Linked DNA regions of Arabidopsis thaliana. The protein of the gene in region 2 interacts with the protein of the main gene of each other region in a biochemical or structural test. Each region holds a gene or a part of one and is shown on either strand. Other genes may lie near its edges.

Region 1 (6,111 bases), on a different chromosome or scaffold from region 2:
ACTATGGATATTGAAATCGTTATAAATCAATTACGATAATTATTTACCTAGTGGCGGCGATTTCTAGACAAATCACAGCTTTACAGATCTCACCCTGATAGAAAAATCAAATTCTCAACACATAAGGAAAAATTATAATCAAAGTACTCGATGTGAAACTTTGGGATTCAGAATCGGATTTATCTTACAACGCCGATGATGGATGAATCGAACTGAGCATCGCAAAGACGGCGGATCTCTGCAGCTTTTCTGATTAAAAGCTTGTTGTTATCGAGACTAAGTTTCCTACCTATGTCGGAGATATCCATATCCTTAATTTTCCGGCGATTGTTACAAGACAAAGAACCAAAGTCAGACACTGTGAGAGATTTTTTCCCCTAGAAATGTCAATGGAACCGATTAGGCTATGAAAACGCTATAAACAAAGCGTTGCCAACGTTTGGCGGGATTTTTTTACGCCTGGTTGAAATTTTAGCCGCGAATGTTTTTTTTGGCTCTTAACCGTTTAAAATGGGCCTTAAAAGGCCTCGAGCCGGCCCAACGTGTCCAGAAGCTGAAATCACATACGGTATCTGATGAAAGACAAAAGAAAAGGAAACAAATGTATATTCGATTAAACCGGTAGTGACGCTGTGTTGGTTCGTTCTTACCGACTACCGTACAGTTCAAAAGATTTTACATCAAACATAAGGAAATAAAGCAAAGAAAGAAACAGAGTAAAGCCTTTTTTTTTTGGGTTGTGGTATTCAACTTATTTAGGCTAGATAGCGGTAAAGTTTCCGGTCTGTACTATCCCTTTCCAAGAAATCTCGTTCAATGAGCGACTCGATTCTCTTCTTTATCTCCGTGGGATTAGCTAGGAACCGTGGCTGCAACTGTTTCGTCACCTCGGCGATTATGTTGTTGTGGTCTAGTATTTTCCTGGACTTCATGATCCTTACGATGGCTGCTTCAATCTGAGGTTTTCTGTCTTCCTCCACTCTCTGTCTCGTCTCTTGCTTCTCCGGTTCTGTTTCCTTTTGGGCAACCACAGTTCCGATCTTCACTTTGTAAAACTTGCTAGTGAACTTGTCGTTCACAACGAACAAATCCTCCTCTCCTATGTCTTTGCTCATGGGTTCTTTCTTTATCACGTTTTTGCCCTTTACACAAGCTAGCGACTGCAAACAGCGTTTAAGATCTGCTGCCGGGATTTCTGTAGCCTGTTCGATCTCTTTGTAGCTGAGTCGATCAGAATTGTTGAACAACATGAGAACACACATCTGGAAAGTCGACACGTTCAGTTCATGTTTCTGACCCTTTCCAAAGATGGCTTTGATATCTGCTGTGCCCATGTTTGTTTGCCAGGACAATCTTCTACCGGTATGTGTCCCAAGGTAGTAAGAACGGAACTTCTCACAGAGAACTGAAACTTCAGCTGGGAGATTACAAGGTACTGCAGGCTGTGTTGGCCAAGAACCAGTTGTAAGTACCTGAACAATAAGTGTAGGTCCTTCTGAAAGCTCGGGGTGACTGCCATAAAACCCACGCATTGTGTCCTCTGAAGTCTTCATGTCAGTGAACATGCCTTCCAATTTTGAAGTGAACTGATAGCCACATTCTGTCTTTAGTTTCACTATTAAACTCCTTTCTGCGTCATCTGACACAGTTTTGCCTGAGAGAAGCCTTTTAGCCAAATGCTGCTTGTAGTACTTCTCAAAGACATCTTTCTCTTGTAAATAACGGAACAGCATCATCACTTTATCAAGGATAACCTCAACATCCACATCGGTGATACCCTTAAGTCCTTTCCGTAGCTTGTCATCAACAAACAGGGAGATAAACTCAGGAGAACGAGCATTCAAGTTGATGAAATACTCGAATGAAGAATTCAGGGCATTCTGAAAGGTTTTATCATTGCCAAATGCGGTGTTGATGATTTTGTCATATTTATCCCGCTCATCCAATAGACGTTGTACAAATTCCACCGGATCCTTTGACTTTTCCGGATCAGTAACCAGTTGTTTTCCCATCTCCCTAAGATGCGAAGTCATAACGTCTCTGACAGTAACAAGACCATTAGTAACCCTGCGAAACAAGTTGTACATTCTACCCAAATCCTCATACTTGTCATTCAGAAGCATATTAACCAGACCTGAGTTCTCCATGTGAACCAGTCTCTGCATGTGGTTGGCAATCATCTCTTTCTCAACCACACTAGTAATCTTCTCTTCGCTCTTGGCATCTAAGTAGTGCGCTACCCTCTCTATCTCTTCAGTAAGGCGTTTCTCTGATTTCTTCAGATAGTCCCCACAATCACAAGATTCAATAAACTCCTGAGACTCAACCTTATAAAACTCAGAAGACGCATCCAAAAACGGCTTCTCAAAATCCTCCTGATACACAGATTCACCCAAATCCATAAACATCTTAATGACATTCCTCATCAACCCCCTATCAATAACTTCACCTATCCGTTCCTTCTGCACTAGATCAAGAAGAGTGTTTAGAAGCCTTGTATGTATCTTAGTGAAATGCACAACATTATCCCTCCACAAGTTAAGCCCCATCGGATGAACATGAGTCTTTTTGGTGCTCTCAATATAAGTCCTATCCATATACATGAGAATGTCTCGAATCATCTCTAACGCTTTGTTGTGCTCATTCCATTTCTTATTAAGCTCTTCTAGAAACGACCCTCCCTGAGCTGCCTCGATAAGCTTGGATTTTTCTTTGAGATGAGAAGTCATAGTAGCAATAAACCCAGTATATAGCTTCTCACCAAACTTGTGCAGGACCATGTTGTACGCATTTCTGAGCCACAATATACACAAATAATTCCATTAACACGAAACCTAGCTAAGTTCCAGAAACATTACCAGTTTCTACAGGATTCAAAGAAAGGCAAGAGAATGAAAGAAATTGACCTGTAAAGTTCTTCGAAACTGAGACCGCTAGCATCTTGATTGTAAATCTGATGGATCGCACGCTCAAGAATCTGCCAAGTTTTATCAGCGTATTTGGGATCCACAACGACTCGATGCTTAAACGCCTCTATCTGAAAATTCCTCTTCTTCTGATTACTCATATTTTGAAACCTGAATCCAAAACAAATCAATCTAAATTCACACAGCAACGAAAAAATTGACGAGCGAGAAGAAAGTATATATGTATAATCATAATGAAAATCAGGTGGATCGAGGAAATCGGAAGACTGACCGGAGAGGAAAGACGGATGATCGGGATTAGGGTTTGGAATTGTATTCTTTGCTTCCGTGAAAAGATTTGGGGGAAACAAAAAGATAGGAAATGGAATAATAATCGAAAAGTTTAAAGGAGAAAGAAGCTTAAGGCTAATTTGCAGCGTCGAAGAGATATAGATAGAGAGGTATCGGAGAAGATAGATTTCGAAGGTGGAGAAGAAGAAGAGGACAGACCAAACGGAGCGGAAGAAATAAAAGTGGACTCTCCGTCTCTGCTGGTGGTTTCCAAACTATAACGTATTTATTAAATTAAAGTCGCGGTTGTCACATTCTCGTCCTTTGGTATATTGGTTACAAAGAATTGTGAAATATCGAAGTCCAAGGATCGATCCCTAGTCGAAGCCAGTTATTTTTTTTTTTTTGACATTGGAGGTTTAGTTAGCTTTTATACTTATGTGGATATGACAAATTGGCACGTCGGTCATTTCATTTAATTGAACTAAAAATATGTCAACTTCTATTTCATAAAGAGGCTTTGAATCCCTTAGAGTGGCGAATGTTGCTTCTCCTCTTTTGGCAGAAGCCATGGCGCTTCATCTAGCCCAACAAAATGCCTTAGAACTCGGTTTTAGGAAGTCACCTTCGCTTCAGATTTGCAAACGCTGATCAAAGCTATCAACTCAGAATCCTTCCCAAAGAATCTCTACGTGATTTTCCAAGATGTTCTTGCTCTTTCGTTTAATTTCGATCAAATTTCTTTTCACTTCATTTTTAGAGAAAAAAACGGTTGTGCATATGCATATGCAAAATCTGCATTAAATTATGCACTTATTGTACCAACTTATGTATCGGTTTAAGTTTCGGTTTAATGAAATTTCAGCTTCTTGACGAAAAAAAAAAATCCCTTTTAATTCATTCACAAAAAAAGTTATATCGTCTGTTACCTTTCTCTTCACCAGTTTACCAACCTTTGTTGCTTGCATTCACTGTTTCGATGCCATATTCAATCGTCTCTATGCATCTGTTTAAAAAATGCATTTCCTCCACAACTTCAGCGACACTATGTTCTAACTTCTAACTAGTTTTTGTCGTTGTAAACACGTCAATGGATCTTCTTCCTTATCCCTGGTCAAGCTCATGATGATATTCTTTGTCTTTGCTTTCTTGAAGCCATTTTCTGGAAAGCAACGCATGGTATATACCATCTTTCTTGTTTTAATCATACAAACTTTGACTTGGACCTATCTTCTTACTTTTCATTGTATAATCTACAAACTTTATAACAATCTTCACCTTCCCTATAAGGTTAACCCAACTAGTGGATTATTCGTATCCACCTCAAGCGCCAAAACATGGTAAGGATCATTGGTAGATTTTAGTATGATTGTGAGGTAGGATCATTGCCGGCTCAAAGTTATGGGCGGTCTAAAGTTTTTTTTTTTTAATAAAAAAATTAGCAGAAGTAGTTGAGGGAACTCGAACACACAACCTCTTGGCTGAAAATGTGACATAAATCGCTGCACTGTAAGGAATTTTTATAATTTTATTGCCCCCAAATATTTGTGATACCTAAGGTTCTTGCATAAATGCAGAACTTGATAGAATACGGTACACACTGGAGTCTGTAACTGTAGAAGTAGAACCAAGTAGCCAACATGCGCCTCATCAAGAAACTTGACGTACGTTTCCGAGACGGGACAATGGTTTGATTTATGCCTTTATGGGTCTTTAACACTTTATGAGAAACAAGGATCTTTAAGTGGATTTAAATATTTAAAATTTAAGAAACAAAGGTCTTTAAGTGAATACTATAAGAGTTTCTTTATTTATTTTTCCAATCGAATACTCATAATTTTATAAATACTGAGACACATAATATTCGGCTAGCTCTAAAACATTGGAGCTGGAAAGTTTGCCTTACGTTACGTTAATTGGAGCTACAAAATACTCATAATTTTGTAGTTGAAGCATGATGAAAAGTTTGCCTTACGTTATTACTTTTTAAAGCATTGGAGCTGAAAATAAAATGCTTGCACGAAATACTAACCTAACACAATTAAGCAAACATATACCAATCACACGTCACGTCTCTCTACCCAAAACAAAATATCACACTTCACGTTATATGACTTATATAAACATATTCTAAACTATTTATCTATCATCCATCCTTCATTGGTTTTCGACAAATTTGATTCCCACAAATTATTTGATATCTTGAGGAAATGAAATTCTTCATTTTTATTCTAGCGTTACAACAACTCTACGTACAAAGTTTCGCCCAAGATTTCGATTTCTTCTACTTCGTTTTACAGGTAATTAAAGTCGATAAATGTCTCTACAAGAATTATCATTGTACTTTGAAATTTTATGTTTGTGTATGTGCGTTGCAATGCAGTGGCCTGGAGCGTATTGTGATTCAAGACATAGTTGTTGCTATCCACAAACCGGTAAACCAGCTGCAGATTTTGGAATTCACGGTCTTTGGCCTAACTACAAAACCGGTGGATGGCCGCAAAATTGTAATCCTGACAGTCGATTTGATGATTTACGGGTTTGTTTTTAACTTATAACACAATAGTTTTTGTATTTTGGGACTTCGGAAATTATTAACCACAAGAAAAGAATCGTAAATAACTAATGAGAATCGAAAACTTTTATAAAGGTTTCTGATCTGATGAGCGATTTACAAAGAGAATGGCCAACGTTGTCGTGTCCGAGCAATGATGGTATGAAGTTTTGGACACATGAGTGGGAGAAACACGGTACGTGCGCTGAGTCCGAGCTTGACCAACACGATTACTTCGAAGCTGGTCTCAAGCTCAAACAGAAAGCTAATCTCCTTCATGCCCTTACCAATGCTGGTACAATATTCACTTGTTTTGCCCTTCATTTTGATCTCCATTGTTAGTTATGTATAAGTGGATGT
Region 2 (5,523 bases):
ATGTTAAAGTTAGAGCTATGAATCTCTTTCATTCCTTAACCACAAGAACCGATACACTGTTTACACAAGAGAGCCTCTAGAACATCTCTAGGTCATATAATTCTCAATCACAGGAACACATCGTCGCTCACAAGTCAAAATATCAAACAATGCATAATTAATCGTATCACTCCCATGACTCTTTACCTCCACGGAACCTGCAGGATGCTTCCAAGTCTTTGCTTACTCCAGCTCATCCAAGTCTTTGGTTAAATCTTTAGTCACCACTCACTTATTCTGTGTCATTACTCCTGATAAGAATCTTTTTTGTCGTTCGTATGTAAACATTCTTTTCTTTAATTCATACGTGGTCGAATCTTTAGTCACCTCTATCGTCATGATAAGAATCATTGTTGTCGTTAGTATTAAAACATCGGTGACTGCATTGCTCCACTACTCAGAAAGCTTTACGGGTTGATATTGTCATCTTCTTTTTTGTTTTTTTTCTTCAAAATATGTAAAAATAACAATTTAGAATAAGTTTCATGTTGAAACTTTAGTGAATGAACTTGCTCGAGTTGTTTAACCTTTTTATGTCAAAACTCGTGTTATAACATGAAAATATTCATTTCCATTTCAAAAGAACAATTCTTGTATTTGATTTTTTTTTTATTAAGTGCATTCATCTGGTAGTTAAGAAGTATGAACTGAAATGTAAGAGTAATTGACATCCGACACGAAACCACATTGCGTGGTTCATCTGTCCCCCACGCGTCTTTCCTTTTTCCAGTCGAACCCAAGTATGAATGAAGAATTTAATAAAAATATCTCTGTTTTAACTAATTATAAGCACATGTTTTTTTCTAATAATTTGCCTTGTTTGCTTTTGAATCCTCAATCATGATCAACCTTCCACTATACCAGTGACTAAGACCGGTTGGTCAATTTTGATCTCCAATATTGAATTTCTATTATTTCCATCAAAATTCTCCTTTGTATCATGCATGGTTGAAGCTATTGTGATTGATTAGACCGATCCAACTTGAATCTCATTTAGATTTTTTGTGATTCATATGCAACCAGGTCTAGTCATATAATTTGGCATGACCAATCAACTACAAAGAGAATAATTATTTTGTTTCCATCTTGTCACATTACTTTAGATTCAGTAATCCTTTTGCGTTTGACGTTAGCTAGTTTAAACCGGATCAATCTGTATACTTTTTGCCACAAAGTCTCCAAAAACCCTAATACCATTTTATAACCAATAATACATTTCTATATAATTCGACCGACCAAACAAAACGACAGATTCAAAGGGTTACTCATTGACAAGTTTAACCCAATCAACCAGTCCGAGAGACAAATAACAAACAAATAAACCTTCCGACTCAAGTAATTAATGGCTTCTAACAATCGCTCACTATATAATCTAATAAAAACACATATATTGTATATTCACATTAACTTGTTCCGGATTCTGATCAAATCTTCTGCTTCTTCTTTAAATAACACTTCACTTTTTTTCTTCTTTGATTGAGACAACGAAGACATGGCTTTAGCAGACGCTACTCTTCTCACCAGAACCTTCCACTTCGTGTCCTCAACCATTTTCTTGTCCTTTTCACCTCTATTCTTATATTGCCTACTCCAATCACCAAAACAAATAAAAAGTTGACAACGAGATCAGATTCTCATTTCTTAAAATATCTTTTAATAATTCTACCAAACAAAATATTTCCAGCCGTCCGATCACGACTCATCATCTAATAAGTAGGCTACCACCACAAAAAGATAATTATTATTGGCGCCGAAAGTTAAAAAAAAATCAAATGAGATCTACTATCGAAAAGTGAAAAACTTTTATCATTAGAAACATTTAAAATGTGGTTTTGATTATTCTAAAATGTCGGATTTTTACCTGCAAAGAGGGACACGGCAAGATTCAGATTGGTCACAAATCGAAGAATGGAGTCTAAGGAGTTGAATCATTCTCTTGCATCGGACACAACCTTTGCCATCGACTCTTTTCTTGCATACTGCAAAGTGACGTATAAGAAGTTGAAGTCCGTAACAAGTCGAAAACGCACTGCATGGACCGGGTTTTGCTTGACATGTTGACTTGTTGTCTAAGTTAGACGATGGTCCGACCAGTGTGCAACCTTCGGTGCATATGTGTTCTATACATTCCATGGCTTCACTCAGCTGCAAATACAGATTCTGTTCTCGTCTGTGTCTCCTTCTTCTTTTCTTCCTCTGCAAGAAATTGACCCAAAAGAAACCTAATTCAATAAAACAGAGTTTTCTTGAAGAACCAAAAAAAAAGAAAACAAAAAAGTGTGGTTTGAGTTAATTACCGATTCTGCATCGTCGATGAATTGGAGAATGTCAAGTTCAAGAAAAGGATCGTGTTCTTGAAGAAACTTCCATCCTTCTGTCTGTTCAACGGTCTTGAACTTGTAGTGAATGAATCGCATACACTTGAGACAGAGGTCAGGTGCGTCGCAGAGACGAGCCAGCTGGAGAATATCGACAACGTTTTCGGCGGTTACTCTCTCACCGACGCCTTTAGTGCACCGTTGCTTTAACTGAGTCACCATATACACGTGTGATAAAGCCAGTAGATGGATTCCGTATTTTTCCATCTCATTCTCCGTGACACTAAACAAAAGATACATATAGGGGTATTCTAGTCATTTTGCATACTAAGGGTAAAATTTGCCGTTGATTTATTCAAATTTGATGTTGGTACTAGTTTCGTGTTCCTTGTGTTGTGTTTCACACGTTTTTGAATATGAAACAAGTCTAAATCAATCGCAATCTGGTTGTAGTGATTTTAATGTATGATTAAAACGTTGGAAAAGTCGAGTTTGGTAAAGATCTTTAAGATGATGTATTTAATCAAGCATTCTTTTTAGTATGATTTGTATTTTTGAAGTAATAAATCTACGGATTAAAAAAAAAAATCTGACGATCAAGAAGATATGAAAAAGAGAGAAAGACGAACCTCGGAGAATAGAGGAATCTGACGAAGACTGAAACGGCGTCGCATGGAACACCGAGAATCTTAATAACTTTCTTCGATGATCCGCCGTGAATCTTCCTCGGCTTCTCGATGATGTTCGTCAGTACCGGTGAGACCGAAGCCTGCATTTAACAATTTTAAACAAACAAAAAAGATAAGCACCAAAATAAAAAAATATTCGATCATACAAAGAAAGTAAGAAGAAAAGAAACTTACGAGGATGCCGGAGTGTGCCGGAATACTACGACGACCGGAGGTGATGATCTCAACATCAGTTTCCACAAGATCATACGAAATCTTATTGGCGTTTAGTGAAACGCCGTCGTTTTGAGTGGCGGTTATAGCCATCGTTTTAAGTTTTCAGAGAGAAAGAGAAAGAGAGAGTGTTGGTAAATTTTGTTGTTGGAGGCTGGAGGGTTTTAATTTGATGATGGAGAAGCTTGAGGGCATTGCTTCTCTGGATTTTATAGACACAGCTCAACGAAGTCTGGTCCTTTTTGATTACTTGTTAATAACACGTGGCATTTTTTTATGATAAATATCTTGTTTTTGTTTCTGTTTTACCCTACGCGCCTTTGTAGATGCGTGTATGTCAATTAATCTCTGTTTTTTTGGTAACCAGAATAATTGGAAATAAAAGTAGTGAACTGTATATTCAGGAGTTTTGGGGTCTCAGATCTGTATTTCTCTGAGATAAGTTATGATTCATTGATAAATAATTTGCGGTTGTCTTTAACACCAACCCAAATGCAAGTAATTGGCTATGGTTTTTCCGTTTTGATAAATAGATAATCGTATATATAGACACTAAGACACAGATACAATTAGTTGTATCTTAATCTATACACAGATAACACCCAGTATTTGAGTCTACTTTAAAAGCATATAGTTACATGTTGTTATAAATTTTTATAAACTAAAATGAAACAGAACTTCTTGCTTACAAAATTTGAAGCAGAAAAACTGAAAATATACTACTGTTTGACAGAAAAAAAGAACTAACAAATGTGAACAAACCCAACAACAAAAAGCCTATGTGTACTTATCTCATTTATGTTTATATTGGACTAATAAATATACAAAGCACAATTTAAAAAAAAAAAAATCTCCAGAAGATAAGTTCAATTTTATTTTCCTAGTTTGAATAGTTTGAAAATTTAAGTCTGCATATCATTTTTGGACCCGAATGACATATTTTATTTAATTAGATAAATATATTTTCTCCATTCAGAGCTCATATCATATGTTAAAATCTATGATCAGTTACATTCATCTTACTACGCTTAGATATGTATAAAGGATTTGGTGATGCAGCTTATTATAAACTTCCCTAGGACTAATATGCCTCAAACATTGTCAAATAGCCGCAGTGCCCCCTAACACAACATATTCTATAATACATTGTATAACAAAAGTATTTTCTTATTCCCAACCTGATATACCAACAGGATCTAACCTATAGATCATTACAATATATTATGTTTTTAAATGGACCTTTCGATACACCAATGTCGACTATATTTTATTCCCAACATTACACACATATATTAATACTTTCCACTGAAAGTATCTAGAAATAATATTGCCTTTGGCCCTTTGTAATGTTTGGGATGACAATAAAACAAGTAATGTATTTTACTTTTGGTACCATGTAGGATGTTTGTCCCCATGATTCATGAAGTCACGAATGTTTATCTTTTTTTATTGATCCTACGTGGGAAAAGTGATAAAACCGGTCAAGAAATTTGCCTTTGTGATGTAGAAAAAGTGCTGATAGTAGTATTATTCTAAGTTTGAGAAAGGGTGGTTATTGAAGTAAACCGACCCTTGCCTCTTCCCAAGAGCCCACCTCCTCGTCTACGTGGCTTGTTGATCCTCATCCACTCTCAAGCCCTCTTGTCTATCCACTTGTCATTCTCTCATTTATCCATTTCTGCCACTGGCCTTTGTTAATTGTGGTTTAAGAATGCCTGAACATCATAGGATGTTGAAGAACTTATCGAAGAATGAAATAAATTTCGCCGCATATATTACACGTGGCAAATCTGGTAGTCTAGGCCAATATGGCAGTCAAGCTTAACCATTAACATCATGACACGTGTCAAATAAGAGCTTTATGTTGCGCATCAAGCTCTTAAACGAAGTACTTAAACGAATTCAGAATCAGTTCCAAGAAATTTCAATATCCGTGTTGACATTTAACAACTAGTGTAGACATCTCATAAGGCCATATAACTATTCTAAGTTTCTAACTATTGGAAAATTAATGTGTTAAGGTTTCAGAGTAGTAGTTTATGTACACTTTTTAGTTTTATAACATTTTATTATAAGATGTCGGGGGTGTTTTCCTTTCATTAACTCTACAAGTATATGTATATTCGATATATTAATCATGTTGTTGTTATAACTTTAAGTATTCACAAATGGCTCTTTAAGAAAACGAAACATCAAAATCCAAAACTTGTGGATAAGTTTCGACGGAAGAGAAAAGTGAAAAGTGTTAATAAACTAATGGATTT
Region 3 (6,666 bases), on a different chromosome or scaffold from region 2:
CAGCCTAACAAGCAATTTCAAATAGCAATCTACAGCGTACGTCCTGCCATCACAATCCCATTTGACACAAGGCCTACAAACTTCCACAACCTCAAGGGCTGGTTCTGTCCAGTTCAGAGCACCATAACCAGTACCATATGCTAACGCACCAATCACTCTGCTCTCCATACCCGAGTTTTTTTGTTCAGGCAAAGGTAGAGACAACTGGAAGCAGCTTTCCACAAGCATTGCCACCAGCTCTTCCCGAAATAAGCTCTTACTGGTAACACTATTGAGATCATCTTTAATCCTTGCATCTTCAAAGAGAGAAATAATATCTGTCCCAGGCAGAGGCTTCTGACCTCTTCGGGCACTTTCTCTGGCAAAAAGGTGAACACAGAGAGCTGTCCGACAGATACAGGCTAATGCGTGCATCCTGTCCGATTCTGCTCTCAAGTTTCTCACCATAAGCAGCAGTCTTCTAAACAACGAAACCTTCGTAACAAATTCCAAAAAGAATGATTCAGAAATCATAGGCCACAGCTTCAAGACAAAGGTACACAACTAACCGAGCTTAAATGAAGTAAAAAACGACATACCTGCATATGCAGATCAAGCAAGTGCAGGTTCGTAACAACGGCCCTGACTATACTCTCTCTAGCAGAGGAAAATTCTTGGCGGTCCCAGAGTGTTAAAATTGCAATAATGGACTGTGAAGCCCACTCTGGCTTGCCTCCGGCAACATCTGCCAGGTAGAGCATGTTAATTCCCACTTCAAAAATCAAAGCTGGATCCAAAGAGGAAGCCAAGAATGGCGCCAAATGGGTAACCAAATCTGAGACGCCAACCAGCTTCTCGGCGTTGGAGTCCACAACGGTGGCATTAGCTGCAGCAGCAGCAGAGGAAGCCTTGGAAAGCTGTCTAATCACTTCGACACTACCGGAAGCAACAGCTTTGACAGCAAAGACAAGAGGGAAAACAGTGGCTCTGAAGGTTTCGACAGGAAGGACTAAAGACCTAGCCATCAAAGCGCTCCTCTTTCTCCATACAATGTCAACCATGGAAGAGACCCACTTGGACCTGATGGCGAGGGAGTTCTCGCTGTCAACGAGCTTATCGCCAGCAAGACGGCTCATCCGCTTGGAGTCGAACTCCTGGAAGAGTCTGCCGACGGACTCAAAGGCAACCTTGGAGACGGCGTCGGATTTGTCGAGCATGTTCTGGCCGATCCGAGCCCACCAGTTGGAGACCTTGTCGAGGAGACCCACATTGTTCTCGCACAAAGTAACGAGATCATCACGCGCGAGGATGCAGCCAAGTGTCTCGGTGATGGAAAAACGAAGGTTGTCAGATGGAGAATCGAAGCAGGAAGCAATCTCAGAGCTGCAATCAGAGATGAGTTTAGGAAGCGAGAAGGCAGGGAGAGCCGCAAGGATGGAGACGGCAGCGGCGGTAACATCCGGGTCCGGAAAATGAAGATCCGTTTTGACACCTGAGCAAACGGTGTCCCAAAGATCCGGAGTGAGGCGGGTAGATCGGATGAGATCGAATGCCAGCTTCTTACAAACAGCTGAAGCCGGAGAAGCAACAATCTCCTCCACAGCAGACTTAGCGATCACAGAGATATCTCTTCCGGCGGCGGATTGCTGCAGCGCCTGAAGAAGCGCCGATGACTGGCGAAGCGCGTCATTTGAACGGAGGTCCGCCTGGATCTGAGCAAAAAGAATGTCCATAACCGGATCGAATTAACTGAAATTCGAGATCCAAAATCTGAGCTAACTAGCTTCGCTGTCAATCTGTGTACGTATGCGACATGGAACTGGAAGAAGAAGGATGTGTAAATCAAACCATCAATTGAAGAAGAAGGAGAAGAAATTGTTTTCGAAGGAAAAAAGCGCGTGCCGTTCCTGCGATTCGAGCTTTCACAGCGTGCCGTGTTGAGTCATCCGTAGACCCAATAAAGGCACATTAAAAAGTTCATTGGGCTTTACATTATAAGCCCAGGATATTATTTTTATGCACCGAAGTATTTGCATTCGATTTTAATTCGAGGGATCAGATCCGACGGTCCAGATTGAGTCCTGCCCAGTAGCAAAACGGCGTTAGACGCAGCATTCGTTAGGGACGGGACACTAGAGAAGGGAGGGCAGAGAGCGATTTTGTTCTCTCTCTACTTCTCGGTCGTCTTCTTCGTCTCCACTCTAGGGTTTTACTCTATCTTCTTCTTCATCATCATCTTCTACACCAATCTCTAGCGTTAATCTGTTTCTGCTGGAGAAGATTTACGCTTGTTCCTCGGTTCTCTTACTTCTGCTCCGGTTCGATCGCTTGCTAAGTGTTTCGAGTTGGTTAGTTCCGAATTTCCTTTTTTATGCATATTGAGTGTTCACTGCTCTCCTCCAGCAATACTATAGGGCTCTAAGAATTGAATTGCTTTCAGGTTTTCATAGTTAGGGTTTCTCAAAACTGACTTAAATATTTTGATTTGTGCAGGTTCGCACTTCGGTGGGCGATATCATGACTGTGAGGAACGGTGGTTTCCCAGGAGATTATAATCGTAACAGTTTTGACTCTCCCGGCGGCTGTGATGATAGCCCCAATGCTTCCAAGGATGATGAAACTTTTGGTGTCCCGAGAATAGTTTTACCCTTGTCTGACTTGTCATCATCAGAAAGGAGAAAGTGGATTCATACGCTTCGTCAGGAGCTGGAACAACTACGGTCCTTTCAGAAGAGTGTTGGGGACCTTCTTCCTATATCTAAGATTGTTACTAGTACACCTGCAAGTAATGTGTCTCGCCCCAAGAGTTTTGGAATGTCACGATGCTCTACTGGCCCTGGAAAAAGGGTGCTCCCCTTCACAGCAACCAAACCAGAGCCAGTCACCACTTCCACTATGCTTCGGATGAAGCAATGTGAGAGCCTCCTTAAACGATTGATGTCGCAGCAGCATTGTTGGCTCTTTAATACCCCTGTGGACGTCGTCAAGCTCAACATTCCTGATTATTTCACCATTATCAAACATCCTATGGATTTAGGAACTGTTAAAAGCAAGTTAACTTCCGGCACGTATTCAAGCCCTTCAGAGTTTTCTGCTGATGTCCGTCTTACTTTCCGCAATGCTATGACTTATAACCCGTCAGATAATAATGTGTATCGCTTCGCTGATACTCTCAGCAAGTTTTTTGAAGTGAGATGGAAAACTATCGAGAAGAAGTCATCCGGAACCAAATCTGAACCAAGTAACTTGGCTACTCTTGCTCACAAAGATATTGCGATACCTGAGCCTGTGGCTAAGAAGAGAAAGATGAATGCTGTGAAACGTAACAGCCTCTTAGAGCCTGCTAAGCGGGTTATGACAGATGAGGATAGAGTAAAGCTTGGCAGAGATTTGGGGTCCTTGACAGAATTCCCTGTACAGATAATAAATTTCCTGAGAGATCACAGCTCCAAGGAAGAGAGATCTGGAGATGATGAGATAGAGATTGACATCAATGATCTCAGTCATGATGCCTTGTTCCAGTTGCGGGATCTCTTTGATGAGTTTCTGCGAGAAAATCAAAAGAAAGATTCAAACGGTGAACCCTGTGTGTTAGAGGTAATCACCTTTCTATATCTCATTCTTGATCCATTTGTTAACATGACTGATAAACAGCGAAAACTTTCTTGATGTAGCTTTTACATGGGTCAGGGCCAGGAAATTCATTGACGCAACACTGTGATGGTTAGCATACACTGGTTTTGTTGTTTGAGCTAATTCGCATGTCCTACTCTATGATTAAGCTGTCATTTCCTCCTCGTTACTTGCAGGGAGTGAATTGGAGGACGAGGATGTTGACATTGGTAATTATGAGCACCCTATATCTCACATCTCAACTGTCAGAACAGAAAAAGGTATGGCGTTAGAGAACTACAGTGGTTTGTTTAATCTTGCTACATTGTATTTGTCTTTTTCTCTATGGAGCTTTTGCAGACGTTTGATGTTTGCAATTCTTATATGTACTTAACCCTCGGAACCATTTTACTTCCCTCTTGTCAGAAGTGGCCGTCCATCTAGAATACTCAATGTTACTTCTGTAGTTTTTTTGGAGTGAAACTTACTGACCTTACTGATAGCAACTCATATTACACACCTAGTATGATAGTGATAGACCTGTTACATTTTCTGCTTGTTTTACTCCCAGGTCGCTGTTTGCTATTTTCTATAGTGATCATATTATCTCTAATCAGTGATTACTCCTCTTTTGGTGCAAAAGATGTTAAGTTTTGTTGATATTAATTAATAAACCTTGGTTTTCTTATTCCCTTTCTAAAAGCAGATTCCGTCGGTGGATTGAATCAGATGGAAGATGCATCCAGAGGGAAGCTAAGTCTTATTGAGGGGGCAGATGGTCATCAAGATGGTAAGCTCAGAAGTGTAGCAGAAAAATATCTGTGCTCTAATATCTGAGGGTGGCATCTCACTCTTGACCCATTAATAATTTAGGAAATAGTGCTCCAAAAGAGAAGGAACTACCTCCAGAAAAGCGTTACAGGGCTGCTCTATTGAAAAATCGATTTGCGGATATAATCTTGAAGGCTCAAGAGATAACTCTTAATCAGGTTAGCTGTGTTTGTGGAGGTGTGAGCTGTTATATCTGGTTAGCCCTCCCTCTTTGACTTTCAAAATTATATTTGTGAGATCAGAATGAGAAACGAGACCCAGAGACACTGCAACGTGAGAAGGAAGAACTGGAATTGCAAAAGAAGAAAGGTATTCTTGATTTGCTAGTTTCGATTTTTTGATTGATGATATATACCAAGTAGTATATACGTACATAAACTTGTCCTCTTATTGTTTTGTGCACCAGAAAAAGCACGGTTACAAGCAGAAGCCAAGGAAGCTGAAGAAGCTCGTAGAAAAGCTGAGGCACAAGAGGCTAAGAGGAAACTGGAACTTGAAAGAGAAGCAGCCCGGCAGGCATTGCTTGAGGTAAATCAAAATTGCTGCCTTGTACCAGTTTGGTTTTATAAACTGCAATACATGTATATTGATCATTGCCATGACTGAATGGTACACCAGATGGAGAAGTCGGTTGAAATAAATGAGAACACAAGGTTTCTCAAGGACCTAGAACTGCTCAAAACGGTTAACACGGACCAGTTACGAAATCTAAGAGATGTTGGCTCTGAGTCTGATGGGTTGGCTGTATTTGGGTTTGGAGGAAGTAATCCTCTAGAGCAGCTGGGGCTATTTATGAAACATGAGGAGGATGAAGATGAATCCGACATGCTTGCGTTTCCAGATCCCGGCAATGAAGTAGAAGAGGGTGAAATCGACTGAGATTCATGAGTGTTGTGTCTTGGATAACAGCAGTCAAGTGTACATGAGTTGTTGTAAAAAATGATAGTTAGATTGATATTTAACCAATGCGATGGCATTTTATCCGAGTAAACAATCAATAACACTTTGTGTAGTGAGTAAAATTTTGGTTAATTCAATAAACCAATGACCGACAGCACCGAGAGAGAGAGGGAGCATGTCTCAGAGTTAATTCTATAGATTTACACTCGAGTTTGGTAATAGAGCCTCTAGACTCTAGTACCAGCGAAATTGTTGCGTCCAACCAATTTATGTTACCTACAAGGCAATCGTCAGTGTTTAGGTAAGTTGCATCTTGAATTAGGTAGAGTGCCCTTTTGAATATTATAGATTAGTTTGGCCAGTCCCCCAATAGGTGCTATGATCATCAGCACAAGCCCAAAAATGATGCAAAACTGCTCCAAAAAAAAAGATTTAACTTAGCTGTAAGTGTCATATTTAGCTTTTGATCTGAGGACTACAAACATCTTACCCAGTTCATACACCATGAGAGACTAAATCTCTTTGGTTTCTTTAGGATCAGCCACATGATGCATGGGATCTGAAAGATAACATATCATTATGTTTGTTAGAGTTATTAACATGTTGATTGAAGTTTGATGATATCAAGAGCAGTTTAAGAGTAGAGTATTCGCGCTTACAAAGTATGTGGTCGGGGCGAACACAAATCCCCCAAAAAATGACAGCAATGCGCTGTAATACGGTAAACCGACCGCTATTCCCATCGTGGCGGCTGCGATATAGAGGTAAGTTAATCAATCATCAAAATGCTACTCCTCTGAAAAGAATGTGAATTTAGTTTCTTTGGTTTGCAAAAATCACAGAGACTTACCCACAAAAGTCCATCGGATGGTAAACCGTAGAACTCTTGTTGGACTGAAGTGCCATATCCTTATCATTACAGATTCGATCATGTCAAACACGGGCATCGCATACACCTAGGAGGACAAAGCAGATCAGTTAAGGCGGGGAACTACAAGTTTTTTTTTGCTTCTAATGAGAGGCGTTTTCTGGTGTACCTGGTAGCTTCCCAAGAGATGTATGACCACAAACATGTTGGCCACAATGACAAGTGCCGTTGGTTTTGTTAGTGATTCGAGGATGCTCTCTTCAACACTGTTTCCAAAGGTCTTGAAACCTACAAGTGCCACAGGGAAGTAGCAGAAAGCTACAATGATATAGGCTACAACCGCTCCCTTCCACATGGGTCGTTTTGATGGGTTCTCTGGTGTTGATGGGATCGTTGCTTGAATTTCCAAAACAACGTTATGACCTGCGTACGCAAAAGCCATTTCACCCAGTGCACTTAAGAAGGCTAATGGCACT

Evidence for each region.
Region 1: the proteins of BT1 (region 2) and CUL3 form a complex in vitro, tested with the Arabidopsis thaliana proteins (one study listed by BioGRID).
Region 3: the proteins of BT1 (region 2) and BET10 form a complex in vitro, tested with the Arabidopsis thaliana proteins (one study listed by BioGRID).

The regions. Positions count from the first base shown.
Region 1 is NC_003070.9:9,293,019-9,299,129, reverse strand, and holds CUL3 (cullin 3), read right to left. Parts: upstream 3,566-6,111; 5' UTR 3,199-3,565; intron 3,078-3,198; 5' UTR 3,068-3,077; coding exon 2,907-3,067; intron 2,794-2,906; coding exon 756-2,793; 3' UTR 501-755; downstream 1-500. Other genes in the region: ORC6 (origin recognition complex protein 6), read right to left, coding at 48-94, 189-308; RNS3 (ribonuclease 3), read left to right, coding at 5,408-5,497, 5,581-5,736, 5,848-6,046. UniProt on the Arabidopsis thaliana protein: Component of the cullin-RING ubiquitin ligases (CRL), or CUL3-RBX1-BTB protein E3 ligase complexes which mediate the ubiquitination and subsequent proteasomal degradation of target proteins.
Region 2 is NC_003076.8:25,332,048-25,337,570, forward strand, and holds BT1 (BTB and TAZ domain protein 1), read right to left. Parts: upstream 3,524-5,523; 5' UTR 3,353-3,523; coding exon 3,221-3,352; intron 3,127-3,220; coding exon 2,987-3,126; exon of another isoform or gene 2,658-2,986; coding exon of another isoform or gene 2,641-2,657; coding exon 2,337-2,640; intron 2,236-2,336; coding exon 1,901-2,235; coding exon of another isoform or gene 1,897-1,900; exon of another isoform or gene 1,625-1,896; coding exon 1,438-1,624; 3' UTR 1,125-1,437; downstream 1-1,124. UniProt on the Arabidopsis thaliana protein: May act as a substrate-specific adapter of an E3 ubiquitin-protein ligase complex (CUL3-RBX1-BTB) which mediates the ubiquitination and subsequent proteasomal degradation of target proteins. Also targeted for degradation by the 26S proteasome pathway.
Region 3 is NC_003074.8:274,217-280,882, reverse strand, and holds BET10 (bromodomain and extraterminal domain protein 10), read left to right. Parts: upstream 1-2,041; 5' UTR 2,042-2,327; intron 2,328-2,472; 5' UTR 2,473-2,496; coding exon 2,497-3,576; intron 3,577-3,653; coding exon 3,654-3,702; intron 3,703-3,788; coding exon 3,789-3,872; intron 3,873-4,297; coding exon 4,298-4,381; intron 4,382-4,464; coding exon 4,465-4,580; coding exon of another isoform or gene 4,581-4,637; exon of another isoform or gene 4,638-4,664; coding exon 4,665-4,731; intron 4,732-4,828; coding exon 4,829-4,950; intron 4,951-5,040; coding exon 5,041-5,301; 3' UTR 5,302-5,550; downstream 5,551-6,666. Other genes in the region: TPLATE (ARM repeat superfamily protein), read right to left, coding at 1-474, 579-1,712; AT3G01760 (Transmembrane amino acid transporter family protein), read right to left, coding at 5,613-5,735, 5,813-5,881, 5,982-6,073, 6,173-6,278, 6,360-6,666.